Linked DNA regions of Stegostoma tigrinum. The protein of the gene in region 4 purifies or fractionates together with the protein of the main gene of each other region. This does not show direct contact. Links are inferred from orthologs where the notes say so. Each region holds a gene or a part of one and is shown on either strand. Other genes may lie near its edges.

Evidence for each region.
Region 1: the proteins of rnf146 (region 4) and parp2 purify together in Homo sapiens (affinity purification with mass spectrometry; 4 studies listed by BioGRID and IntAct, counting the BioPlex papers as one, with this or other methods). This does not show direct contact. The link is inferred for Stegostoma tigrinum from reciprocal best matches to the Homo sapiens genes RNF146 and PARP2.
Region 2: the proteins of rnf146 (region 4) and lig3 purify together in Homo sapiens (co-immunoprecipitation; 3 studies listed by BioGRID and IntAct, counting the BioPlex papers as one, with this or other methods). This does not show direct contact. The link is inferred for Stegostoma tigrinum from reciprocal best matches to the Homo sapiens genes RNF146 and LIG3.
Region 3: the proteins of rnf146 (region 4) and chd1l purify together in Homo sapiens (co-immunoprecipitation; 3 studies listed by BioGRID and IntAct, counting the BioPlex papers as one, with this or other methods). This does not show direct contact. The link is inferred for Stegostoma tigrinum from reciprocal best matches to the Homo sapiens genes RNF146 and CHD1L.

What each region holds. Positions count from the first base shown.
Region 1 is NW_026728242.1:133,906-141,016, reverse strand, and holds the start of parp2 (poly [ADP-ribose] polymerase 2), read right to left. Parts: upstream 3,024-7,111; coding exon 3,004-3,023; intron 2,407-3,003; coding exon 2,233-2,406; intron 687-2,232; coding exon 550-686; intron 1-549. UniProt on the Homo sapiens protein: Poly-ADP-ribosyltransferase that mediates poly-ADP-ribosylation of proteins and plays a key role in DNA repair.
Region 2 is NC_081380.1:10,340,059-10,346,988, forward strand, and holds the start of lig3 (DNA ligase 3), read right to left. Parts: upstream 3,025-6,930; 5' UTR 2,716-3,024; intron 2,044-2,715; 5' UTR 1,381-2,043; intron 1-1,380. UniProt on the Homo sapiens protein: Isoform 3 functions as a heterodimer with DNA-repair protein XRCC1 in the nucleus and can correct defective DNA strand-break repair and sister chromatid exchange following treatment with ionizing radiation and alkylating agents.
Region 3 is NC_081365.1:27,586,001-27,593,454, forward strand, and holds the start of chd1l (chromodomain-helicase-DNA-binding protein 1-like), read right to left. Parts: upstream 3,015-7,454; 5' UTR 2,895-3,014; coding exon 2,795-2,894; intron 1-2,794. UniProt on the Homo sapiens protein: ATP-dependent chromatin remodeler that mediates chromatin-remodeling following DNA damage.
Region 4 is NC_081357.1:68,246,030-68,253,377, reverse strand, and holds the start of rnf146 (E3 ubiquitin-protein ligase rnf146), read right to left. Parts: upstream 3,016-7,348; 5' UTR 2,861-3,015; intron 1-2,860. UniProt on the Homo sapiens protein: E3 ubiquitin-protein ligase that specifically binds poly-ADP-ribosylated (PARsylated) proteins and mediates their ubiquitination and subsequent degradation. May regulate many important biological processes, such as cell survival and DNA damage response.

The DNA.
Region 1 (7,111 bases), on a different chromosome or scaffold from region 4:
AGGCCATTCAGACCCCTCTTGGAGTCTGTTACACAGAATCAGGTTGAGGCCACTCAGCCACCTCCTGGACCCAGTTACAGAGGAACGGCAGGGGACCATTCAGTCCCTTGAGCCTGTCTGACTATTCATTGAGATTCTAGCTGCCATGATTCACAATTCCCAACCATTGCATCACTAGTCTGTGTACAGTTGCCAGAAAACATCCATCAATGCCACTGGTAACATTTATAGCTAGCCCACCCTAAACTTCAACAGCACTTAGTGCGAGAGATCCCAGGTCTGCTACTTGGGAAAGGAGCCCATCTTGACATCCCTTTCAAATTGCCTCCTCCTTGAAATGGAAAGTAAAGCTCCCTCTGCTCTTTTAAACAGGAAGTAAATCTCCCTCTTCTTCTCAACAGAAGGTAAAGCTCCCTCTACTCTTTTAAGCAGGAAGTGAAGTTCCTCTATTCCAATAAACTGAAAGTAAAGCTCTCTCTACTCCAATGAGCTGAAAGTAAAGCTCTCTCTACTCTTTGCCCGTCAAACATTGCCAGGACAGGATCATACAGTCTTCCTTCTCTTTCACAGCATAGCGCACACTCCTCTCGAAGCCTGTCTGGCTGTTCTCCTGGGCCATTTTCTTCAAATCCACTCGCAGGGTGATCTTCGAAGGAAGAGACAGCTGAACGGAGGTATTCCCGGACCTGGGGGGGGGGGGGGGGGGGGGGGGGGGAAGAGGGCAAGATAAGGTGCAGTGTTAGGTCAATGCGACGGACTTGGAAAGGCTCGAGTTTGTGTTCCCTGGTCCGAAAGTCCAACCCTGCCCCCTCGTTCTTCACTTAACACACTCCTTCAAATCTCCAACAGGACAGCGTTCTAGAGCCAACCACCTTCGGCTGCTTCATCAATGACCGCACCCACCCCCACAGGCAGCAGAATCGGGGATGTTCACCGATGACTGCACAGTGTACAGCACCATTCGTGACTCCTCAGGTCCTGAAGCAGTCCGCGTTCAAATGCAACAAGATCTGGACAATATCCAGGCTTGGGCTGGCAAGTGGCAGGTAACACTGATGCCACACAAATGCCAGGCAGTGACCATCTCTAGTAAGGGAAAATCTAACCGTTGTCCCCACTATCCTGGGGATTATCATTCACCAGAACCTGAACTTGGACCGGCCCCACATAAACACAAGGGGCTACAAGAGTAGGTCAGAGGCTGGGAATCCTGTAGCGAGTCACTCACCTCCTGACTCTTCCCTCTTCCACAGGCACACACACAGGCACACACCCCACCCCTGTCTGATGGGATATTCCCCACTTGCACTGGGTGCAGGCAGCTCCGACATCATTCGAGAAGTCGACACCACCCAGGGACAAACCAGCCAACCGCTCAATTGGCATGGCATCCACAAACACCAACACTCAGTCGCAGCAGTGTGTACCATCTACAAGATGCGCTGCAGAAACCCACTGAGGCTCCGTAATTCAGTACCTTCCAAAACCCCACACCCTCCACCATCAATATGGACAAGGGGCAGCAGATACATAGGAACACCAGCCCCCTGCAAGCTCTCCATCCCAACCTGGAAATATATTACCATCATTGGGCCTGGAACTCCCTCCCTATCAGCAGTCTAGGTGGGCGCACCATGCACTGGTCCAGGGAGACAGGCAACAGATCCTGGGTCTAGCCAGTGAAACCAACATTCCTGGAAAAACTTAAAACACGCAACTTCACAGTCACACAATCAGTTAAATAAGATCGCGAGAGAAGACGGCAGACCTAGCGAGAGGGGCACCATGTAAGACCGAGAGAGAGCGAGAGAGAGCGAGAGGGAGGGTGTGTGTGGAAGCGGACAGACTGCAAGACAGAGATAGACAGGTGGGGTATGTGGAGGGGGACAGACTGACAGAGAGAGAGATAGAGAAAGGGGAAGAGAGAGAGAGACAGAGAGGGAGGGAGCCAGTGAGAGAGAAGGTGGGAGGTGGAGATGTTTTGGGTCATTCCTCTGCTATGGGCACGGGTACCTGAAGCTGCAGAAATTTCAATCATAGGGAAGGAACTTGAGAGTCGGGAATCAGAAGCAAGCAGGGATATGAAGGTTTTGGGACGGAAGAAGATCACAGAGTTGGGGGAAGGTAAAACTAGGCTGGGAGGCGGACAGACAGGTGGGATCAGAGACGATGGAAGGATTTGAGTTTTGAACTCGAGGCGCCTTTGGCAGAACACTGCTTTTTGACACTTACCGCAAAGCCTCTGAAAGCTCCCGCTCATGCTCGGCCGAGTAAACATTCCAGGATCCGTCATCCGCTTCCCATTCCCAACGGCCAGCTAACTCATTGAGACCCACCTCCTCTTCATCATTGTCTGCCGTCGCTCTCTTGCGGCCTGCAGGGAGAACACCAGTCCCACTACCATAACTCTCACACACCACCGAGGTAAAACTTATCAATATCCAGGCTTGGGGTGACAAGTGCCTCGTAACATTTGCGCCACACAAATGCCAGGCTGTGACCATCCCCAAATCAAAGAAAATCTAACCACCCCCCTCCCTTGACATTCAATGGCGTTGCCATCACTGAAACCCGCCCCCCCCCCCACAATCAACATCCTCATAACATAAATACAGTCGCGACAAGAATAGGTCACAGGATCAAAATACTGTGGCCAGCAACTCCCCTCCTGACTCCACCAAAACCTGTCCCACCATCAACACACAGTCAGGAGTGTGATGGGATACACCCCACTTGCCCGTGGATGGGGGCAGCTCTGACAACACTCGACAGGCTCCACACTGTCCAGGGTCAAAGCGGCTCCCCACTTGATTGGCACTACATCTACAAACACCCGCTCCCCCACCCACCGATGCTCAACCGCAGCAGTGTGTAATCTACAAGACGCCCTGCAGAGACTCACAAAGGGTCCTCAGGCAGCACCTTCTACATCCCACGGCCACTTCCATCTGGAAGGATAAGGGGGCAGCAGATACATGGGAACACCAGCCCCCTGCGAGTTACCCCTCTGAGCCGCTCGTCATTCCGACTTGGAAATATATCGGCCGTTCCTTCAGTGTGGCCAGGTCAGGATCCCTGGAATTCCCTCCCTGAGGGGGACGCTGTGGGTCTACCCCACAGGACATGGGACTGCAGCAGTTCAAGGGGGCAGCTCACCGCCACTTTCTTAAGCACAACTATGACAGGCAATTAATGAATTTCAAAAAAATCCCTGTGAGGCACAGAATTGTAGAACGAGACGGCACAGAATGCCATTCAGCCCGTAGCACCGAGATCTGCTTTTTGTCATGTTTTGAAAGAAAAATCATCGACTCGTCCCAGCCCAGAGGAGCAGCGGGCATGACGCACACTTCAGGAAGAACAGGTTTTCTTCTGTTCCACTTTGTTATTGTCACATGCACCAAGATACAGTGAAATGTATAATCCGCATGCGATGCAGATAGATCATATCTTAGTTAAGTACATCAGGATAGTAAAACAGAATGCCCAATATAGTGTTCCAGCAGCAGAGAGGGTGCAGAGAGAGAACAACTCGAATATATGAGGGATCTACTCGTAGGTCTGATAACAGCAGGGAAGAAGCTGTTCTTGAATCTGTTGATATGTGTTTTCAAACTTCTGTATCTTCTGCCCGATGAAAAGAGGGTGAAGAGAGTGCAACTGAGGTGGGAGGGGTCTTTGATTATGTTAGCTGTTTTCCCGAAGCAGCAGGAAGTACAGGTGGAGTCTGTACAGCGCGGAAACAGACTCTTCGGCCCAACCAGTCCATGCTAAATCTCAAACTAGCCCCACCTGCCTGCTCCTGGCCTGTATCCCTCTAAACCTTTCCTATTCATGTACTTATCCGAATGCGTTTTAAACATTGTGACTGTACACACATCCATCACTTCCACTGGAAGCTCATTCCACACTCGGGCCACCCTCTGTATTTAAAACAAAAACCTTCACCTTTTTTTTAAATCTTTCTCCTCTCACCTTAAAAATGTGCTCTGGTCTTTAAATTCCACACTCTTAAAAGACACCTGCCATTCAACCTATCTACATCTCTCACAATTTCATAAATGTCTGTAAATTCACCCCACAACCTCCAGTGTTCCAGCTTATCCTTATAACTCAAACCGTCCATTTCAAGCAACATCCTGGTAAATCTCTTCTGAACCCTCCCCAGCTTCAACGACACCCTTCCTGTAAGAGGACAACCAGATTTGGACACAGTTCTCCAGGGACAAAAGCAGAAATTGCTTGGAAAGCTCAGCATTCTGATCTGAGGAAGGGTTGCCCCAGACCAGAAACAACAACTGATTCCTCTTCACAGGCACTGCCAGGCCTGCTGAGCTTTTCCAAAAGCTTCTGTTTTTATTTCTGGTTGACAGCATCTGCCGTTCTTTCGGGTTTTATATGGTACTCCAGACGGGGCCTAACCAACATCTTGTACAACCTCAAATTGTGTCAATGGATGGGAGGCTGGTTTGTATGATGGGCTGGGCTGTGTTCGCAACTCTCTGTAATTTCTTGCCTCAGAAACAAGGCTGAGTCTTTTTTTTCTGACTGTGCAGAAACTGGGAGCGGCACAACCTGGCGGCGGTGGGGGGGTCACAGGATTTGACCATGCAAGGAGGGGGAAGACACGCTTCATCCACACCAACGGAGCAGAGTGTCATGTTCCGAGGAGTGACAATAACCGAGAACCTGTCCCGGGGTTCCCACTCGGATGCAACGGTCAAGAAGGCTCAACAGTACCTCTTCTTCCTCAGGCGGCTCAGGAAATTCCGGGTTTTCCGTAAGGACCCTCACCAACTTTTACTGATGTACCACAGAAAGCATACCGTTCCGGGTGAACAACGGCCTGGTACGGTGACAGCTCTCCCCCAGGACCGTAAGAAACTGCAGAAGGCGGTGTGTACAGCCCAGACCATCACAGAAGCCGACCTTCCACCCATGGACTCCAGTTACTTGTCTCGTTGTTGTGGAAAGGCTGCCCATATCATCGAAGACCCCTCCAAACCTGGTAATGATCCCCTACAACCTCGTCCATCAGGCACAAGACACAGAAGCCTGAACACACGCACCATCAGGTTCAGGAACAGTTTCTTCGCTGCTGTTATTAGACTAATGAATAGACTCCCGAACTTCAAATAATGCTCATCTTGCTCGCGTTGATCTTGCTTCGCACCCCTCCTGCGCAGCGTAACCTAGATGCCTAGTTCTGTCTAAGCACCCGATAATCTGCATGAGACATAGCAAGAACTGCAGATGCTGGAGTCAGAGCTAGCACACAGCGTGGGCATGGAGGAACACAGCAGGCCAAGCAGCATCAGAGGAGCAGGAAAGCTGATGTTTCAGGTCGGGGCTAAACAGTTCTGAAGAAGGGTTCTAAACCGAAACGTCAGCTTCCCTGCTCCTTTGATGCTGCCTAATCTGCTGTGTTCCTCCAGATCCACACTGTGTTATCTATGATCTGTATGTCCTTATTTGCTATGATCTGCCTGTACTCTACACAAACACAGATTTTCACTGTACTTAGGTACACATGACAACAATAAATCAAATCAAAATCACAAATTGGGTTAGGTATGACACTGGGGGCTGACTGTGAACAAATTGGGTTGGGAACAACACCAGGGGCCTGACTGTGAACCAACTGGGACATCTACAACACCAGGGGGGGGTCTGACTGTGAACCAATTGGGATAACTACAACATCAGGGGGGGGGGGTCTGACTGTGAACCAATTGGGATAAGTACAACATCAGGGGGGGGGTCTGACTGTGAACCAATTGGGATAAGTACAACATCAGGGGGTCTGACTGTGAACCAATTGGGATAAGTACAACATCAGGGGGGGGTCTGACTGTGAACCAATTGGGATAACTACAACATCAGGGGGTCTGACTGTGAACCAATTGGGATAAGTACAACATCAGGGGGTCTGACTGTGAACCAATTGGGATAACCACAACATCAGGGGGGGTCTGACTGTGAACCAATTGGGATAACTACAACATCAGGGGGGGGGTCTGACTGTGAACCAATTGGGATAACTACAACATCAGGGGGGGGTCTGACTGTGAACCAATTGGGATAACTACAACATCGGGGGGGGGGGTCTGACTGTGAACCAATTGGGATAACTACAACATCAGGGGGTCTGACTGTGAACCAATTGGGATAAGTACAACATCAGGGGGTCTGACTGTGAACCAATTGGGATAAGTACAACACCGGGGGGGGTCTGACTGTGAACCAATTGGGATAACTACAACATCAGGGGGGGTCTGACTGTGAACCAATTGGGATAACTACAACATCAGGGGGGGTCTGACTGTGAACCAATTGGGATAACTACAACATCAGGGGGGTCTGACTGTGAACCAATTGGGATAACTACAACATCAGGGGGTCTGACTGTGAACCAATTGGGATAACTACAACATCAGGGGGGGTCTGACTGTGAACCAATTGGGATAACTACAACATCGGGGGGGGGTCTGACTGTGAACCAATTGGGATAACTACAACATCAGGGGGGGGGTCTGACTGTGAACCAATTGGGATAACTACAACATCAGGGGGGGGTCTGACTGTGAACCAATTGGGATAACTACAACATCAGGGGGGGTCTGACTGTGAACCAATTGGGATAACTACAACATCGGGGGGGGGTCTGACTGTGAACCAATTGGGATAACTACAACATCAGGGGGGGGGTCTGACTGTGAACCAATTGGGATAACTACAACATCAGGGGGGGGGTCTGACTGTGAACCAATTGGGATAAGTACAACATCAGGGGGTCTGACTGTGAACCAATTGGGATAACTACAACATCAGGGGGGGTCTGACTGTGAACCAATTGGGATAACTACAACATCGGGGGGGGTCTGACTGTGAACCAATTGGGATAAGTACAACATCAGGGGGTCTGACTGTGAACCAATTGGGATAACTACAACATCAGGGGGGGTCTGACTGTGAACCAATTGGGATAACTACAACATCAGGGGGGGGGTCTGACTGTGAACCAATTGGGATAAGTACAACATCAGGGGGGGGGTCTGACTGTGAACCAATTGGGATAAGTACAACATCAGGGGGTCTGACTGTGAACCAA
Region 2 (6,930 bases), on a different chromosome or scaffold from region 4:
AAGTACAAGGCCATCTATTTTGGACTCAAGAAAGAGGCCTTTCTCCCCCCTCCCCCCAAGAAAGAGCAAGAAATGTGGACCTATACAGAAACAAAAAGATTTGGAAATCCAATGTGTATGAATTATTTAATAGTAATGAATAGGTACAAAAAGCTTGCAAAAATACGAACAAATATTGGCCTTTATTTTCAATGGGACAGATCTTTATTTGTAATGGAGCAGAGGCTATAGGGTGGTGACTTGGGTACATACCTCAATGCTGACTTATCATAATGATTCTTTAATTTAACATATTATACTATACAGCAAGCTGCCAAAACCTAGCTTAGAGTTTTTAAAATGTTAAAAGGATTCAACAGGATAATACAAGGAAATATTTTCCTCTGAACAAGGAAACAATTTCTAAAATCAGAGTTGGCTTTATAGAGAAAAATCAGTTCGCGCTTCTCAACATAAAACACATATACAAATGAGTATTAAAAATTTGCAATTTGCCCCTCAGAAGACTATGGATGTTGGGACAATTAGAGCTATTAAGCTTGAGATCTATCTTATAACAACTCTTAAACCTCAGGATCATATTATCCCTTAAATGAATCATGTGCCCATTCACCACCACTTACAGCCAACTGGGAATGCTTAGCCTCAGTGCCATTCACCTCAATGGCTCATGCCACCTTCACCAACTCACTGGGGAATTAAAGCGATAGAAGTAAACCTAGGAAGGGAAGGATGGCAGCTAACTGGCCAAGCAAAAAACCAAGTGCACACTGCAATCAAACTGGACTCTGATGAAGGGTCTAGGCCCGAAACGTCAGCTTTTGTGCTCCTGAGATGCTGCTTGGCCTGCTGTGTTCATTCAGCCTCACATTTTATAATCAAACTGGACATCTGTTTCTCCATTCCCATCGCTCCCTCATATCATTAATATCCTGGTGCATAGTTATGAAAGCTCCAAAAGAAAAAAAAGGACCAGCTTCTGCTTAGTTTCGGCTCAATTCCAGCCCGGCTCTTGACAAACACTTCAAAAGGAGCAAGACACGATATGTAACATTTAGGGTGCAACAAGCATTAACTCAAAGCAGACTACACAATAAAAAAAAACCGCAGACGCTATAAACCAGGAACAATAACAAAAGTCGCTGGAAGAGCTCAGCAAGTCTGGCGCATCGGTGAAAAAAAAATCATAACTTCCTGTTCTAATGAAGGGTCACCAGTACTGAAACGTTAACTCTGATTTTTTTTTCTTCACAGATGCTGCCAGGCCTGCTGAGCTTTTCTAGCTGATTACACGAGATTGTTATATTGCTTTTTTCAAGCAATGTTGGAGTCACTGAGGTCATGCATTGGGGGGTTAAAAAAATTCATAAACATCGTAACCTTTATCCAACTATTCTCCCATCCGTGATATTGTTACAAGCGTTCCCTCAAAGTGCTTTCCTAACATTCACAGGCTGTTCGTGTTTGAATGCACACGACCTTTAATTTTCCTTTCCCCAGCAGCACTTAAAGGGGCCAATTTCTGACCGATTTGCACAGTATCTGCACTGTCACGCGTACACGGCAGACCGAGGAGATACTGCTCCTTTCACACAGACTGTGGAGGGCAAATTACTGAATATATTCAAAACACAGACTGATAAATTTGAAAATTTTAAAAGGCACTAGGAGGCATTGTGAGAAGAAAGCTGGAAAAATATGGAACAAAAACAGAAGTCGCTGGAAAAGCTCAGGAGGTCTGTCAGCATCTGTAAAGAACAGAAAAGAAAATCAGGGTTAACGTTTCGGGTCTGGTGACTTCTCCCCTCAGGAGAAAATGGCAAAGGTACAGGATCAGTCACGATCCTGCTGAATGGCAGGGCAGGAGCACAAGGCCAGGCGGCCTAGACGTAACTCCCAGTGTCTAGATATTTACTCAGCAACCTGTTCACACGTTATTTATTATACACGTCCAGAGCGGATGGGACATAACCCCGGCTTCGTGGTTCAGGGGCATGGGGCATTCAATTTTCAAGAGTTTTCAATTGTAGCGATGTGATCTTTCTGAAAAAAAAGACAAGGCTAGTTTTAAATTAGATGAGTCGCCACCGATGCTAGGAAACCTTTAACCTATTTTTGGTTTGTACCTCGCAGAGGAAAAGCTCAGTTTATTTCTCAGACTTTCCTGATTTGGGTTTGTGACCACGGACTTCTGGCCCCATGGTGCTATCATTCCCACACACTTTGTAGTATCCTGGAGAAACGCTGCCAACAAAGGGCTTTAAAACATACACGCCCACCAGTTTAAGAGTAACCAAAATACCGTGAATGCAGTTTCAGAACTTGATCAGATCCCATTATCTGTAGCAGTTAATATTTATTCGTGTTTGTAAATTGAAGCGGGAGGAGTGGGGTGTTTGGTGGTTAAATTTGGGAGGCGGGGGGAGGGAGAAAGAGATGCCCGTCCCGTTTAAACGCGGGGCCAGCGCCTGCGACTTTCGGCGGACAAGCCGAGAGCGGAACCCGCCTCCAAATCGAGGCCCGAGGCCTCAAGGCCTAGAGACACCAGCTCCCAGCCGGTGCGAGTGAAGCCCTCTGGTGGTAACCGTCTCCCCGCCCCGGGGGGAACGACGTTCAGCCGAGGGCTAGGGCCAGGCCTCTCCTGACTACTGGGTCGAGGCTCGGTGTTTTCTTCCCCCACCCCCGGCCGTAGCGCCAGGGCCCGCTCGGACTGACCTGGTATGAAGCTGCGGCCTGCTCTCCGCGCCGCCTGGAGACCTCCCCTTTAAGAGCCGGCCCTCGCCCTTTGTCCCTGCTTCAGCCGCTGTGACGTGGCGCCCGTTTAAAGGTGCCGGGCGGCCCGACTCCCTCAAGAGCTGTGGCCGACACAAAATCGAAACAAGATAACCATGAGACTCTCACTCCCGACAACTCCCTGAGCGTAGGCTGCAATCAGTCCCCTCCCCTCACCGACGGTCAGTAGCAGCAGTAAACCGAACTGCACTGCAGAATGTGTGCTGTACACCGAAATGCACTGCAGAATGTGTGCTGTGCACCGAAATGTACTGCAGAAATTCGCCAAAGATCCTTAGCAGCTTCCAAACTCAGCACCACTTCCATCTGGAAAGACAAGGACCGCAGACACTGCATAGGGGAACACCGGCTCCTGCAAGTTCCCTCCAAGTCACTCACCATCCTGACCTAGGATATATTGCTGTTCCTTTATGTCACTGGGTCAAAATCCTGCAATTCCTTCACTGAGAACATTATGGGGCTATGTATACCAAAAGGACTGCAGTGGTTCAGGAATGTAGCTCACCATTGGGAACAGCATGGTGGTTCAGTGGTTAGCACTGTTGCTTCACAGTAACGTGAACCCGGGTTTGATTTCACCCTTTGGTGACTGCCCGAATTGGCACATTCTCCCCATGCCCTTGTGGGTTTCCTCCCCCAGTCCAAAAATGTGTAGGTTAGGTGGATTGGCCATGCAATTGCCTGTAGTGTTCAGGGATGTGTAGTTTAGGTAGGTTATAAGGGAATGGATCTGGGTGGGATGCTCCAAGGATTGGTAAGCACTTGTTGGGCCAAAGGACCTGTTTCCACATTGTAGGGGATTCAATTCTATAATCACCTTCTCAAGGACAACTAGGTTTGGACAACAAACCAGCAATGCAATACCCCACTAATGAGTTTAAAAAAAAGCATAGTTTGAAATTAAAATGTTGCCATATCCTAATGTACACATCCCTGTTCTAATCCAATTTCTAAAAGATACTGCAGATGCCAGAGATCTGAAACGAAAACAGAAAGTGTTGGAGAAACTCAGCAGGTCCAACAGCCTTTTTAGCGAGGTAGTGAGAGAACTGAAATAGAGTCGTCTCTGATTTTGTCTCCATATGTGCTACAGAACTGTTGTGGTTCTCCAGCATTTTCTGTTTCTAATTGAAATATGTTTGCCAATTCAGAAGCAGGATTATGTCTGATGAAGGGTCTAGGCCCGAAACGTCAGCTTTTGTGCTCCTGAGATCTGCTTGGCCTGCTGTGTTCATCCAGCCTCACATTTTATTATCTTGGATTCTCCAGCATCTGCAGTTCCCATTATCTCTTATGAATTTGCTCTTTATGTTGAGGGCAGCCCAATGCCTTTTATGACATTTTACTTCCAAAATGTAGCTGCTGCTATGTAAATACATCAAATCTATTCCTCAAGTAGCAAATGAGACAAATGATAATTAGTTTTCATGGAATTGAGTTGAAAAAAGAATGTTTAGCAGGGCATGAAGAAAAATTCTAATTGAATCTGATATTTATATTGACCGCGGTAACATTCAAGAACAGGCTAATTCTCCTGTTTGTAGCATTGAAGAGATCAAGAGTGGCTTGCAAATCTGGTGCAGTGTGAACAAAGACAATTGCCGTCACCCGCAAACTCTTAATCATGTATATCTTGGCTGGCAGAACACTTTTGGCACAGAGTGCATTGATCACTCAAGTAAACCTTGCCTGTTTTTTTCACTGGGTGGCTTGAATACTGGGTGACTGATTGCTATTACTCATTTTGTTAAAGTTGCAGATTATTTCCTTGGTATCTGCTTTACCTCTTGGAAATTTGAGGCAACTGACTCTGAAACTAGACATGGGCAATAAATATGGCCTTACCATTTCTCACGTGTCTAGACTTAAATAGGAAGTGAGTACAGATCTACAAATATAATTCAGAAACACTAAACTATTACTTCTATTGTGATCCAGTTAGGAGGTGTAAACTGATTTCTTATTTCACACTTCTCATTTGTCCGAACGAAGTTTGAATTTCAAAACAAAGGTAATAATTATGATTAAGCGTATCTAACTCAGTATCAAGTCAGCCAGAAATAATTTATTGCCAAATAATTTTGCTCAAGCAATGCTATAATGATTTTTTTAACAAAAGTTTACATTATACAAATACGTACATCTGCCCTTGTTGAAAACTAACATACATATGAACAACCTTCAAGGCAGGGAAATAAAACGTAAATCCTCTGCTTTGTTACCTACAAAATTCCTTGGTCAAGGAACTGTTAAACTCAGGAAAAAGAATTATTCACAATTTGTCCAAATGACAGTCTGAAGCCAAAGTCACGTTGCACAATTAGTGTTGGGGTGTCCTCCTGGATCAATTTTAGCTCACTGAATTCACTTTTTGAGTTCAAATTCTCTTGTCAGAACTCTCCATTTGTGGTGGTGGAATTTTCCAGTGAGTTTTCAACTCTCATACTGAGATGAGAGGGATTTCAGAGAATAGCGAAGGCTGTTGCTCTAGTTAAATTCTCTCTCTGGCTCTGTGTTCAATCCTTTTTGTGTTGATATGTTTTATTAGTCTCAAAAAATACAATATGTGGCCTCTTTCTGAAGCTAATGCAAACTCAGTGACTCCAACCAAGAAGCTTGTAGTTTTTGGAAATTAAACATTTTCCCATTGCAGTCAGTCTCCTTTTCTTGCAAAGTGTTCTCTCCAAATAGTCAAAGATTTTGAAAAATGTCCAGACAATGATATTCTAAATTAATATTTCTGATAGCATATCTTCATAACAACTCCCATTGAAGGATGATGATGTGTCATAGAATATACTACAGGTTACTGTCATAATGCAAAATAAAATTCTATTGTCAGATCTCACCTCCACCCATTGGTAGGATTCCAATGTGCATCACTGTTCTCACATTGCGATTTCTCTGGCCTACCTGTGGCATTTGTAAAAAGAAGCTAAGTTTCTATGTACAGATTTACACAAAGATTACTTGATGATACAAACTAGCAATGGCATTGGTCCAATCTCAGGTCTACATCAAGTTACCCGATCTCTGTTTGGAGGAACCAATAGTAGACCACAATTAGTCTCAGCTAGGGGTAGAGTGAGATCAAATTGCTCAGGATTCCCACTCTTATTTGCTGTCTAACACCTTCTGGAATGTGCTGGTTGAGGATTGGGATATTCCTGTCCTGTGATCAAATAGTCTGCCGTCAGTCACAAAAAAATAATCAGCAGATATAATGGGAACTGCAGATGCTGGAGAATCCGAGATAACAAAGTGTGGAGCTGGATGAACACAGCAGGCCAAGCAGCATCTTAGGAGCACAAAAGCTGACATTTCGGGCCTAGACCCTTCATCAGAAAAGGGGGAGAGGGGGAAGATGGATTGAAGATGGATAGAGGCAAGATAGGTGGAGAGGAGACAGACAAGTTAAAGAAGCGGATATGGAGCCAGTAGAGGTGAGTGTAGGTGGGGAGGTAGGGAGGGGATAGCTCAGTCCAGGGAGGACAGACAGGTCAAGGGGGTGGGCCATAGTCAGCAGATGCTTTTGGAACAATCCTTTAAATAATAGTGCATACCCTTAAGTGACAAGGAAACAAGAAACTTAGTGGATAAAAGGAAGCCAGTAAATCAAATATCACTGTGTTCTTCACCAATTTAAAATTTTTAAAAAATCTTTTTTTTGTCAGTTGTATGAATAAGTAGGTAAGTGTTTAATTATGGCTTTATTCCAGTGAAGGTTATTGCATTTTTCAAATGCAAAAATGGAGACATAACTAAACAAAGGCAGAGAAGAGCAGAATATGATAACCTATGATCTCAACTTTGCTTTATTCACAGCCATTAGTTTGTTTTGGGAATGTTGATTGAGGGCTACATATTGGCTAAGACCTTCCTGTTCCTCTTTGAAACAGCATAGGGAATCTTTACATCCAGAAAGGGCAGATGGAGCTTCAGTTTAACATTCCATTCGTACATAAGGTAGCAAATCCCTGCCATGCCAGTTCAGATTCTGAACTCTAGTGTTTGGTGCAGGAGGGATGGGTAATAATTTGTCTAGCCCAGGAAGATGGATTTTAAAACGGGGCCAGGAAAAACCTGGGGCATCAGGTTCGCCACCTAATTCACTGCTGCCTCTTAGTGATTTGAAGA
Region 3 (7,454 bases), on a different chromosome or scaffold from region 4:
GGAGGATCAACTGAATTATTATTTTGCATTGATCTTCATTATAGAGATAAAGGTTACATTCCAGATATAGTTGTAAATCAGGACATGGAAGAAAGGGAAGAATCCGAATATTACAATCACAGGGGAAGCAGTATTGTGCAAACTGTTGGCGGTGTGGGCTGATAAGTCCTTATGTCCTGATGGACTTAATCCTGGGGTTTTAAAAGTGGCAGCTAGTGATATAGTTAATTCATCAGTTTTAATTTTCCAACATTCTTTATATTCAGGGAATGTTCCTTTAGATTAGTAAATAGCAAATTTAACACCTTTATTCAAAAAGGGAGACAAAATGGGAATTGAAAGCTGCTAGGGGACAGTAAAAAATTAACCATTTTGTTGAAGACGTAGAGTCACAAGCAAGCCAGACCAGGTGAGGATGGCAGTTTTCCTTCCCAAAAGGACACTGGAGATTGAGGTGGGTTTTAAAATATCTGACAATGATTTAATGGTCACCATTAAAGTGAGTAATTCCTCATATATTAAATTAACTTAAATTCCACATTCGATGATGGTGAGACTGGAACTCATGTCCTCAGCATATTAGCTTGGCCTTCTGGATTATCAGTTTAGTGACAGTATCAGAATATCACCATATTAAGCAATTTTAGAAGGCTTACTAGGCCTGGAATAGGCAAGCTGACTGATGAGAAAGAGCAACTTGAGTGAAACATACAAGATCCTGAGTGTTTTGAAAGACAAATGTTATAAGGATGTTTCTGCTTGCAGGACAATTCAGAACTAGGGGGACACTGCTTAAAGGTAATGGGTTGTCCATTTGAGACTGATGAGAAGAATTATTTTTCTCAATGGGTGAACTGACTATGGATCTCTTTCACAAATGCAGTAGAAGTAGAGGCATGAAGTAAATGCAGAACATTTTTAAGCCATCTGGAGACTGGTTCCTGATTAGCAAGTGAGTGAAAGGTTATCAGAGATGTTGAATAATCAGATCAGCCATGATCTTATTGAATGGAAGATTTGCACTGAAAGGTAGAATGACCTACTCCTGCTCATGTTAATTTATTCTTGCAATTTTCTGATCATTAGAACTCAATTTTTCTGATTTAGCCCATGAAAAGTAATAAAATCAGACATCCTCCTAATTCAATTTACTCAATACAAAGATGTCTTATTTATTTTTGAAACTAAAATCTCTAGTTTCTGACAGTTGATGCAAAAATGCTCAACATTGGCAATGGATGCAAATATCAAGGAAAAGTTTTTCTTGTTTTTGATTTACAATATCCACAGTTCCTACAGTTTTTAATACAGAGTTGGGATCAGGTTTCAGTTATTTCAGATAAACAATGAGGCTGGCAAAATGCATTGAGGTTCTTTCACTTTGTTTCTCATCAATAAGTTTATTTAGTAAACTGGTGAGATTACTATGCTTTTAACATTGTAGCAATGCATATTTGTAATATATACTTAACTCATCCACTCAAACTGCTCTTCCATCCACCACCAGCAGTGCACTTGTGAAACATCAAATACAACTGAGGCTAAGACTGAGCTATGTTTGGCAATTCATTGTAATAATTTATAAGAAACAACAATATTCAGTTGGGTCCTCGATCAGCTGATTGACACTTTAGTGTGTCCAGTTTTGGTCACCTGGTACAGAAAGAATATTAAATAGAAACAAAAAAAAACTGCAGATGCTGTAAATCAAGAACAAAAACAAAAGTTGCTGGAAAAGGTCAGCAGGTCTGGTAGCATCCGTGGAGGAGAAAACAGAGTAAATGTTTCGGATCCGTTGACGCTTACTCAGAACAGAAAGGATATTATCAAACTGGAAAGGTTTCTGAAGAGATTCACCAGGATGTTGCCAGGTACAGAAGATCTGAGTTATAAAGAAAGGCTAGGATTTTTTCCACTGGAGCCAAGAAGGTTGAGAGGTGGTGGGAACTGCAGATGCTGGAGAATCCAAGATAATAAAGTGTGAAGCTAGATGAACACAGCAGGCCAAGCAGCATGCTGCTTGGCCTGCTGTGTTCATCCAGCTTCACACTTTATTATCTAAGCCTGAGAGGTGAGCTGGTAGAAGTCAATGAAATAACAAGAGGCATTGATAGTAGTTGTAATTTCCCTAAGAATTTCAAGACCGGGGGCACATTTTAAGTTGAGAGGAGAGAGATTTTAAAAAGACTGAGGCTTTTTAATTACAGAAGGTGGTTCACGTGTGGAATGAACTTTCTGTTGAAGCTGTGGATGCGGGTGCCATTACAACTGCGATCAGAGATAATGGGAACTGCAGATGCTGGAGAATCCAAGATAACAAAGTATGAAGCTGGATGAACACAGCAGGCCAAGCAGCATCTCAGGAGCAGAAAAGCTGACGTTTCAGGCCTAGACCCTTCATCTCTGATGGGATCTTTCCGAACTTTCCATGGACTCAAGAACTGTTTACAGTCAAATCGCTCTTCAGCGAGTGAATAAAATTCGTTCAAAGAGTGTAGTTATCGCAAAGTGGTTAATTTTGAAAAAGAAACCGACATGTCACCATCATTACCCAATTTTCAGAGAATGAGAATTATTTAGAAAGAGGCCAAGAATAGGTTATATTTAGGGCACGGGCAGTATGCCTCACGATTTAAAGGAGAGGCCTATGAGAGATAGTCGGATTAAGACAATTTAATAACTATGTTCAAAGTGCCCACAAAGAGTTCAAAGTTATCCAAGTTGGGCCTGTGATCAGTCAGGTGTCCTCAGACCTCCCCAGGAGTCGGCTACAATCCGTTTAAACGGCACTGACCTGTCAACCCCCAACTCCTAACATCCTCCTCCTCAACTTGTTCAAACTCTTCCGGCTGGTTACTGAGTAAATTGCGAAGATTTTGTACAAAGTGAGGCATATCTAAATCTTTCTACGTTCACAGGAATTTTTGAGAATAACTGACTGACCGCCGAACGACCTCCGACACTAAAGTACGTGCCGCACCCGTATCAGTGACCCCGCCCCGAGAGGGTCGGCACGGAATGGGCGGGGCCATTTCATGACACACCGGTGTCTACGTGAACGAACGGAAAGGGTGTGGGCGGAGTCTCCCGTGACGAAGGGAAGGAAAGATGGGTGGGCGGAGTCTCTGGTGATCAAACAAAGGGGAGCGGGCGGTGTCTTTCCATTGAAGGAATTGAGAGAGTGTGCTGGTAATTGGAAGGTGTAGTCCTTCATAAGGTTTTCAATTAGAGAAGAGAACTTGAGAGAGGCACTGACTTAATGGGACCTTCAAACGATATGAAATTAAAATAAATGTGGAACCATTGCTGCAGCGTGAGGGCTTGTGTAAAAGTAAAAGAAACTTCTGTTGGCTGTGTGCATGCTGTTGACCAGAAATTACAATATTCCTCCACAGGAATTTTCTGATGAAGGCTCTCGGCCCGAAACGTCAGCTTTTGTGTTCCTCAGATGCTGCTTGGCCTGCTGTGTTCATCCAGTTCCACACTTTGTTATCTCGGATTCTCCAGCATCTGCAGTTCCCATTTTCTCTTCCTCCACAGAGCATGTGCCTTTGAAGCCTTCACTGATATAACCAGCATAGATATCTGACCAGCGAAGGTTTTTTTTAAATTTCATTGAAGCAGATAATAACTATTCCTAGATAACAAGGTGTAGAGCAGGATGAACACTGCAGGCCTTAGGAGCAGGAAAGCTGACGTTTCAGGCTTAGACCCTTCATCTCATTAATTATTTCTATAGACCTTTTGGGTAATGACAAACCACTGCAATCCGTGGGGCGCAGGGAGAGAAAATGTTCTTCGGAATTAGTTCCAGAGTATTTACCCAGCCACTGTGAAACAATGGTGATAAGTATTTCCAAGCTATGGATGCTGTGTGGCTGGTGAGGGAAATCATATATCAAATAATTCCTCCAGTATGGAAGCAGGCCATTCAACCCATCGAGTTCACACTGATCCTCTGACGACTATCCTCCCCCACCAGACCTGTCCCTTACCCTATCCCTGTAACCCTGCATTTTGTATGGCTAATCGACTAAGCCTCCACACCCCTGGACACTTTGGGCAATTTAGCATAGCCAATCTACCCAATCTGCACATCTTTGGACTCTGTGAGAAAACTGGAGCACCAGAGGAAACCCAAAGAAACACAGGGAGAATGTGCAGACTCTATACAGACAGTTGCCCAAGGGTAGAATCGAATGCAGGTCCCTGGTGCTGTTGGCAGCAGTGCTAAGCACTGAGCCATTGTGCTGCTAATATTTGAAAAAAAACTTTCAGATACTGGTGTTAACACAGACCTGCCAGGACTGGTCTGCTGTGCTCCTCCAGCTCCACACCGTGTTATCTCTGACGCTAGCATCAGCAGTTCTTACTAACTCAGATGCTGGTGTTCCCATGTATCTGTAGAGATTGCAGGTTTGGGAGGTGCTATAGCTGTGAACAATACACCTTATCAATCTATCTTGGTTTTGGTATTGTTTAATGTGGTAATGTTATTTAGTAATCGAGTAAAAATATCAGCTGAAAATTAGAGATCATAATACAATTGAATGTCATGTTAAGTTGGAAAGCATAGGAACAGGAGTAGGCCATTCAGCCCCTCATGCATGTTCCACCATTCAATGAGATCATGATTGACCTGTGGCCTAGCTCCATCTCCCAACCTTTGGGTCATATTCTTTGAAACCTTTGCTTAATAAAATAATTATCTATCTCAGATTAAAATGAATTAATGGCTGCTGCAACATCAACTGCCTTTCGTGGAAGAGAGTTCCAAACCTCTACCATTGTCTAGGTGTAGAAGTAGTACCTAACATCTCCCCTGAATGGCCTGGTCCTAATTAGTAGACTAGTTCTAATATCTCCAACTAGTGACAATAGTTTATTTACACTGCCTTTTCTTGTTGGCATTATGAAGACTTTGATCAGCTCACCCCTTAACCTTCTAAATTTTGGTAAAACAGGCCAAATTTGTTTTCGAGATAATGGGAACTGCAGATGCTGGAGAATCCAAGATAATAAAGTGTGAAGCTGGATGAACACAGCAGGCCAAGCAGCATCTCAGGAGCACAAAAGCTGACGTTTCGGGCCTAGACCCTTCATCAGATCTGTATAATCTCTCTTCATAATTTAACTCCTGGTAGTTCAGGTATCATTCTGATAAACATCCAAGGACAATATATCCTTCCTAAGATGTGGTACCCAGATTTTCCCAAGTACTCAAAGTTGTATCTAACCAGAGTTTTGTACAGCTGCTGTGTCCTTATACTTCGGTCCACTAGATATAAAGGCTAGCATTCCATTAGCCACCTTGATTATTTTCACAGAATAGAATCCTGACAGTATGGGCTATTGGGCCCAACAAGTCCACACTGCCCCTCCGAACACCATCCCACCCAAACCCATTCCCCTAATTTCCCATATCTAATCAATCTGACCTAAACATTCCTGGGCTGTATGGGCAATTTAGCATGGCCAATCCATCTACCCTGCATATCTTTGGGCTGTGGGAGGAAACTGGAGCACCCGGAGGAAACCCATGCAGACACGGGGAGAATGTGCAAACTCCACACAAACGTTGTTCTAGACCACAGATACATTGACGGGGAGGAACTGAAATAAATCAGTATAAGTGGAGAAATCATGATGGGGTAATTGATGGGATTAAAGGTCAAATAGTCCCAAAAGCCCACAAAATGCATCCCAGACTACTTAAGGAAGCAGCCTTAAAAATAATGTATGCGTCGGTCACCTGAGACTAGAATTGAACCCAGCTCCCTGGTACTGTAACGCAGCAGTGCTAACCACTAAGCCACTGTGCTGCCCCTGAATCTGTTTTCTGCATCTGCATTTTCTGCATCTGTTTGTGGCATTTTAAAGATCTATGTACCTGAACCCCTCAAGTCTTAATTGGGCATCCACTGTATTTTTTTTATATTATCTTAAAAGTATCCTGATCTAACCTCTTTTATTCCAAAAGTGGATAACCACACGCTGGTTACACTGAAATCCATCAGCCACGATTTTGTCTATTCACTTAGTCTATCAATATCCTTTTGTAATATTATGCTATCATTGACAATGCCACCCAGACTTATGTCACCATCAAATTTGGATATATGACTTTCCATACTATTTTCCAAGTTGTTAATAAATATGAATAATTAAGAGCCTCATACAAATTCTTATGGGACACCATTAATCATATCCTGCCAATTTCAGTACCTACCAATTATCCCTAATTTCTGTTTCCTGCCACTAAAACATTTGTGCAGCAAAGTCAGGCATTTGCATTCAATTCAGTAGGCTTCTACTATAAGTAACAGTCTCTTATGTGGGACTTCTATCAAATGCCCTCCTGCAACCTATATAAAGAATATGTATAGGCCAATCCCTCCAATCCATAGAAACAGTTCTGGAATCTATAGATGTTGAAATATCACCACCAATGCATACATTATTTTTAAGGCTACTTCCTTAAGTAGTCTGGGATGCATGTTATTGGGCTCTCGGAGCTATTTGGCCTTTAATCCCATCAATTGCCCCATCATGATTTCTCTACTTATACTGATTTCTTTCAATTCCTCCCTGTAACTGTATCAGGTGGTCTAGGACAATGTTTGTGTCCTCCTCTGTTAAACAGAACCAAAATATGTATTTAGTTGGCCTGCCATCTCTTTGTTCCCTATTACAACAAAGCAAGTTGATATGGCAGCATTGCACGGCAGATATTTGGATAGCAATACCCAGAGAAGGACAGGAAGAGACAAAATATGTAAACATAGAAAAATAGAAGTAAATAGGGTCAATCAGGGGGAAAAAAGTCATTCAAAAGGCAAAATGAATGGCTCGTTACTTGAGTGCACATAGTATTTGGAACAAAATAAATGAATTAATGGCAAAAAGTCAGGTTAACAGGTATAATTTTATAACCATTACAGAGACATGGTTATAAGAAAATCAAAGCTGGAAACTAAATATTCAAGATAAGTGAGTTTTTGAAAGAACAGGCAAGAAAGAAATGATAATAGAGTAGCATTGTTGGTGTGGATTGAAATAAATATGATAGCAAGAAATGACCTTGAATCAGAAGATGTTGAACCCATATGTGTGGAGTTAAGAAAAAAGAAAGAAGCTGGTAAGAGTTGGATGTAGGATCCCCAACAGTAGTTTAACATTGCGACTGAGACTAAATCAGAAGATAATGAGGGCATCTATCAAAGGCAGTACATTAATCATTAGTGGCTTTAATCTACATGTAGATTGCGATAATCAGATTGGCGGAGAAAGCCATGAGAGAGAATTCTCAGAGTGTATTTGGGACAGTATCCAACAACAATGTGTGGTTGATCCAACCAGGGTTCAGTTCATTTTGGATCTGGTGATGTATAATACAGTATAATTGAAAAAAATGATCTTAGAGTAAAAGATCCCCTCAGAAACAATGACCATAA
Region 4 (7,348 bases):
ACAGTGAAATTGTCAAACTGGCAAGGATACTGTAGGTAACTGTAACCTTTTAGGGGAAGAAACAAGTAAAGGCTGAAAAGACAATCGAAGATCTGATGACCAAGAGTTCAAATTGAATTGATTACTCAGATCAGGAACTTAACTCTAGTTAACCCCACTGGCCATACAAATACTATCAGAGAAGGTCAGAGGCTGAGAATTCAGCACTGACTCTCCAAAGACAATCTACAGGGCACTAATCTAGAACCTGATGGAATACTCTCCAATTGTTCGGATTAACGCACCTGCAAAACTGTTAAGAGTCTCAACACTATCCAGGACATTCCAGTTTCCTTGACCTGCAGCTGACTGACCATGTAAAACATTTATTCCCTTAACTATGAGTGCACAGAGCAACCGCAGTTTATACTCTCTAAAGTCTATGAGACTGATACCCTAGATGGAAAAGGTCAACAGGCACAATGCAAATACCATATGCATGGCCCCCTAAGCAAAGCTACAAAGTCATGAAATAGGAGAAATCCTTCTACATATACCGTAAATGTAGATTAGCAGATTTTAGTAACTAGGTTATATTCATTAGTTCACAAGGCACTGAATGCAACATAAGAACAACACTGTTTACATAGATGGGTGCAAATTTACTGTGAATGTAAAAATCAGCCTGCAGGGTCTGTATCATGATGTCTTTCATAAAGAATCAATGCTGGCAAACAAAATGGAGAACAATTAGAATAAAAGCAGAACAAAGATCAAGACCCAAATAATAAGATGGAAAAGGCAGAGAATGGTAAGAAAGACACTAATGACATCTGGCATTACATGTGCAAACCCTTGCTCAGACATTTAAGAAAAAAGTAAAACAAAGCAGTAATGATAGGAAGTGAACATAATGGTCATATTGGAGCTCCATTTTGAGATCTATAAGTCAAGTCAAACAAGTATATATGTCATTCATGAGTTTCACTGGTCTTTACTCTGGTTGAGTGTGCCACTCAAAATTTCCAAGTTTCAAATTTTATAACAAATATCAAAAATTAAAAACAAATCTACTGCAGGGTTCTTCGTGATATTGTGAAAATTAATTAAAAATGGAAACTTTCCTTACTTGGAACAGAACAAGGAATACATTGATACATGTGCACTTTCCATTTGCCTCTCTAGGGAAGCAAAGAAAGCAATCAAAAATACTGTTCAAAAAAGCTTTAAAATAAAATGTAAAACTTAGCCTTGTCAATCTTGCCTTGTATTTTTCCAGCTGACTGTAGCTAGAAATATGCTTAGTGCTCTGCCTTTCACGTTCCCACTTGTTACTTTCCCATTTACTAAGGCAGTCATTTAGGTGGCATTAAGTGCAACAGTTCACGTGCGGCAAGGTACATGCACATCAAACCTTTTACTATTTTGACCATATTTCTCCCACAACAGTGGAGGGGAAAAGAAGTGTCTTCTTAGGCTGTAACATTTAGTATCCAAAAATTCTGCAAAGAAAATTAGTAAATCTTTTCTCCAGTAAAATACGGTTCTATTTTTCTCCCACGTGCACAAAGAAAGCTTTTAAACATCGGTTTCCAATGCTCCTTATAATGACCTGACTTGAAGCTATCAGTCTGTGGCTTATGATTGATAGCTTCAAGATCCTGGGAGGTCACACCACATTTAAATGCCATTGGAACCAGACGAACAGTTTCATTCAGGACCTCTTGGGGTGGGAAAGAAGGCGAGTTTCGTTCTACCTGAATGCCAGACTCCCAATCAGAAAACTCATGCTTCTGATGTTGGGCTCTGAAGTTCCTTAATTAGGAGTGAGCTGAGCACATGGGCACAGACTGCTGGAGTTTACGTTACAGCATTTTGGAGGAGAAACTATATTTAGCTCCAAAAAAAAGGATTACAAGTGACCAATCTCAATCAAGTATTCTGAGTTTGATTTACTCTCAAAGCATTTTATGTTCCATAAACCCAAATAATCATAAAGGATTAATACATTTTCAACATTTTTTCTAATATAGATCCAATTTTCCAGTTAAACAAATAGACAGAAAGAAAGGGTCTAGATTTCAAATTTTTCACCCAAATCTTTCAGTAGACCTCTACTGATTTTGTTGGTACACGTTGGAAAAACACAGCAACAACGACAAAGTTTTTGAAAAAAAAAGCCTGTACATAGCAACAAAATCGAAATTAAAAGGCGGCCCAAAGTGGGAGATAAATATAGCAATCATCGATCTCAAGTTTGAAAGCCTGTAGATACACTGGATCCAACAGGCCTGTGGGGAAGAGAAGGGAGATTTCATTTTATTCCAACAGTTATTCACAATATAAAAATACAAGAGTACAAATTAATGGGGAAAGTTTACTCACCAACAACCATTACACCGCCCCCCCCAAAAAAATAATATTTGATAAATGAACCTAATGAGGACAACAAAATACATTCGCAGAATACGGATAACATTTGAGTAAGGCCTTGCGCTTTACACAGCCGAAGTACATGCATATTTTGCGATGAGGGAGAACCGACGAGTATGGCTCCGGCGACGAAACCACGCTGGACCGGTCAGCCCAGTTGGGTATGTGACAGTAACAAGAAAGTGCAAAGTGGGGGGAGGAAGGAGGCATAACAATGGAAAGAGGGGATTGCACAGGAAAGGGAGCGGGGGAGGGTCAGGTAGCAGCCCGGCGCCCCACTCTAATCCACTCCGTGCTCCAAATGGGAACATTGGTGCCGCCACGTTCGAGTGGAACTCGGGGCCTGAGCGATACAATCAGTCACCATAGCGCCCGAGCGAGGCCGATTGTTCCTTTGTGAGCCAGGCAACAGCACCGGGTTCGATGCCACTGAATGTTCCTCACTTACCCGCCAGCGCCTACAGCCAGGGGCTTTTGCCTAGCCACTGTCACCGAAACACTCACTAAACACCACAGATGGGGAGGGGAAAGAGAAACAAAAACAAACACAGCCTCTCGAGCCCCAGCTTAGTTTGGCCCCTCCGCACCCCAGTAGGCGCAACTTCCACACGTCAGCACGGCGGAGCGTGCTGACGCCAAGGCCACACCCACTCTCGAAGAAGTTGTTGCTCCGGGCATTTAGACATTTTTCTATCCCCACCCTTGTCTGCCTTCTGGAGAGACCGCTCACTCCCCTCCAACCTCACCACACCCGGCACGTTCCCCTGCTACATCTGCCCCCACACCTCCTCCGTCACCCACATCCCAGGCCCCATGATGACTTTCCACATCAAGCAGATGTTCACCTGCACATCTGCCAATGTGGCATACTGGATCCACTGTATTCGGTGTGGCATCTTCTACATTGGGGAAACCAAGCAGAGGATTGGGGACCGCTTTGCAGAACACCCACGCTCGGTTCGCAATAAACAACTGCACCTCCAGGTCGCGAACCATTTCAACTCCCCCTCCCATTCCTTAGACAACATGTCCATCCTGGGCCTCCTGCAGAGCCATAATGATGCCATCCATAGGTTGCAGAAACAGAAACTCATATTCTGCTTGGGAACCCTACAGCCCAATGGTATCATTGTGGATTTCACCAGCTTCAAAATCTCCCCTTCCCCCCCGCATCCCAAAACCAGCCCAGCTTGTCCCGCCTCCCTAACCTGCTCTTCCTCTCACCTATCCCTTCCTCCCACCTCGAGCCGCACCTCCATTTCCTACCTACTAACCTCATCCCACCTCCTTAACCTGTCCGTCCTCCCTGGACTGACCTATCGCCTCCCTACCTCTCCACCTATCTTCTCTATCTGCCTTCAGTCCGCCTCCCCCTTTCTGCCTATTTATTTCAGAATCCTCTCCCCATCCCCCTTTTCTGGTGAAGGGTCTAGGCCCAAAACGTTAGCTTTTGTGCTCCTAAGATGCTGCTTGGCCTACTGTGTTCGTCCAGCTTCACAGTTTGTTATCTCTGAGTCAGAGAAGGCTTGCTACCGCTGTGTGGAATGGCAGCAGCACTGGCTCCTAGCCAGAGATGTGCCATAGGTTTTATCTTGGAAGGCGAATCGTCCTTAACCAATTTACTAGAGTTTTTAAAAATAATATTTTAAGAGAGTAACACTGTACGTGGACTTCCAACAAATTTCTTACTCAATGTTGTTCCCTCATAAGTTTGAATATGCCCTTTGAATCATACCTATAATGCATGTGGATTCCTCACTTCTGTCTGTTTCCTGAAAATTCTGACTTTAAATGATGATTGGAATTAATCATAGATCTTGAGTTTCCATGAGAATCGCTGTCAAAGCCATTTCAATTAAAGCACTATGCATCCATAGCTAAAATAACCACTGAAATAAAATACATCACAAAATATGAAAGCATTAAGGGACGAAATATAATCTATAAGTAAATATATAAGTAAATGAGGGTCCCTGATTTACAAACATCTGATTTACAAATGTGATCCCATCTGGGGGTGTAAATTTGAAGACTCAACATACAAAATTTTCCTGTACCTACAACAGCTGCTTTACATGGTCCTGCACTGTGTTTTGACTGGTGTGAAAATTGACTTATAAGTGGACCCGAGAACAGCATCTGTTTGCAACCGAGGGACTGCGTGTAAGTTACTTTTGGACTCACCAAGATCCATCTAGTGGCAGATGTTGGTTGGTGGAGGTAGCCGATGGAATCCCAGTGCTTTCTGCACCAACAAAATTCCGTCACTAGATGGAGCCAAGGACCCCCGTGCATATTCAGAATATTAATCGCTGCCTCTAACGCATTCACATCCTCGAGGAAAGGAGACCAAAACTGCAAACGGTATTTGAAACGTGATCTTGCCAGCGCCCTGCATAAAGGAAGCATAACATCATTGCTTTTATGTTATTAATATGGGATAGCATTCCATCAGCCTGCGTATTACTTGCTGTACCTACATAATATTTTGGAAGTCATACACTGGAAGACTTAAAATTTACCTGTACGTCCGAAGTCTGCAGTTGTCCTCCATTTAAGTAATACTCTACAGTTTTATTGTTCCTGCCAAGGTAAAAATAACATTTCCCAATATTTTATTCCATCTGCCAGATCTGCCCATACACTTAACCTATCTAAAATTGCTTGCATCCTTATTTTATCATTTTCATGACGTACTTTTCCACCCAGACATAGTAAGAACTGCCAATGCTGGAGTCAGAGATAACTGTGCGGAGCTGGAGGAACACAGCAGGCCAGGCAGCATCATAGGAGCGGGAAAGCTGACGTTTCGGTTCAGGACCCTTCTTCAGAAATCATCCAACTCCTCACTGTGTTATACTTTCCCACCTATTTTTGTATCATCCACAACTTTAGTTACAACACCTTTAATCTCTCATCTAAGTCATTGATATAAATTGTAAAAAGCTATGGCCCAGTTCAAATCTCTGGAAAATTTCAGTAATCACACCCTGTCAATCAGAAGAATACTGTTTTATGCGCACCTGCTGTTTTTGACAACTCAACCAATCCTGTATCTATGCTAATATGTTAACCACTATACCATGAGCTTCTACTGTGTGGAAAGCCCTTGTATGACATCTTGTCAAATGTCTTCTGGAAATCAAAATGCATGTCAATAGGCTCCCCAGACCCACAGTGCACATTACTCCTTCAAAGAACTCTAATTTGTTACCCTTGAGTTCCATTTCACAAAATCATGCTACTCCTAATTACCATGAATTTTTCTAAGTGGCTAACAATAAGCTACTTAATGGGATTCTGAAGAAGGGTCACTGGTGCTAAAACATTAGCTCAGTTTTCTCTCCACAGATGCTGCCAGATCTGTTGAGCTTTCCAGCAATTTCTGTTTTTGATTCTGATTTCCAGCATTCACAATTCATTGTTTTTTAAAAAATAACGTCCTTAATGATCAATTCTAACACGTTCCTCATGAAAGACAAGTCAACCAGCCTATAACTACCTGTTTTCTAGCTTTTCATCCTTCTTAATTAAAGAAGTTACATGAATTCTTTCCAGCCTGGTGAAATCTTTCCAGCAACTAGTGGATTTGGAATATCAATGCCAACGTATTGATTATCTTCTATGGAGACAAAGCAGAGTTAATGTTTTGGGTTTGGTGACTCTTCTATCAGAACTAATTGTGGCTAGGAAAAGGTGGGATAAATGCAAAAGAAGGGATAGTAGGAGGGGGAAGAATAAACGCTAGGTGGAGATAGAGCCCAGAGTGAGATAATAGTAGTTGGCAGTCAAAGGATTGGGTAATGGTCAGTCTGGGAGAATCGGTAGCTGCTAATGGGGACTGGAAGCTGGTTGGTTGTGGTCACAGCCCAGGTGATGACAGGGCCTGGTGTGTGGGGGTTGGGGGAAGGACATGGAAGAGGGTGCTCAGGCCTTCATATTATTAGACTCAAAATTGGGTCCTGAAGGCTGAAGGGCTCCCAAGTGGAAAATGAGATGACATAACATCCTTTCTAGTTCCAGCTACATCATTGGTACCAATGTGGGCCATGTCTTTTGGATCCTCCCCATCCCATGGCGAAGCTTGCTCCATTTGAGTGCGGATATCCTAGAATTGGGCAGATAACACAGCTATCTGGACTCACATGCTTAACTGCAGAGAACAGTGTCAATCCCTCTTGTTGTACTGTCCCTTAATACCCCAAATTCACTTTTATTACCCCCACTTGAAAGGCTTCATGTACAATGCTGCATTTGTCAGTTAACTCATCCACACTGCAGACCCTTGCCTAATCAAAACAAGCTGATAAACCTCAAACCTGATGGATAATTATAAAGTCTGAGGCTCCTGCTCTCCCACCTTTTGGATTCCCTACCTGCCTCATTTGCAGTCACATCATTCTGCCCCCGACCACTAATAAAATCAGAAGACAGCATCCTCAGGACTGTGACCTCCTCCTGGAATACAGTGACCAGGTCACATCTTTCTTCCCCGATGTGCTGCAGTGTCTGTAGCTTGGCTTCCAGCTCAATAAATTTGAGCTGAAATTTCTCAAGCTGGAAACATTTGTTACAGATGTGTGCGCTCTGGATCATACTGGCACCCAGAAACTTCCACAACCTACAATCACAGCACACTAGAGGCCAAGCAGCATCAGAGGAGCAGGAAGGCTGACGTTTTGGGCCTAAACCCTTCTGCAGAAAGGCCCGAAACGTCAGCCTTCCTGCTTCTCTGATGCTGCTTGGCCTGCTGTGTTCATCCAGCTCGACACCTTGTTATCTCAGATTCTCCAGCATCTGTAGTTCCTACTATCTCCAATCACAGCACACTATCTGCCTTGTCATCTCATTAATTTGTTTTAATCAACTACTCAGTTATTTTACTCAATTATTTGCATTTTGTTAAGGTTACCACCAGTTCCTGAAGCTTTCAATC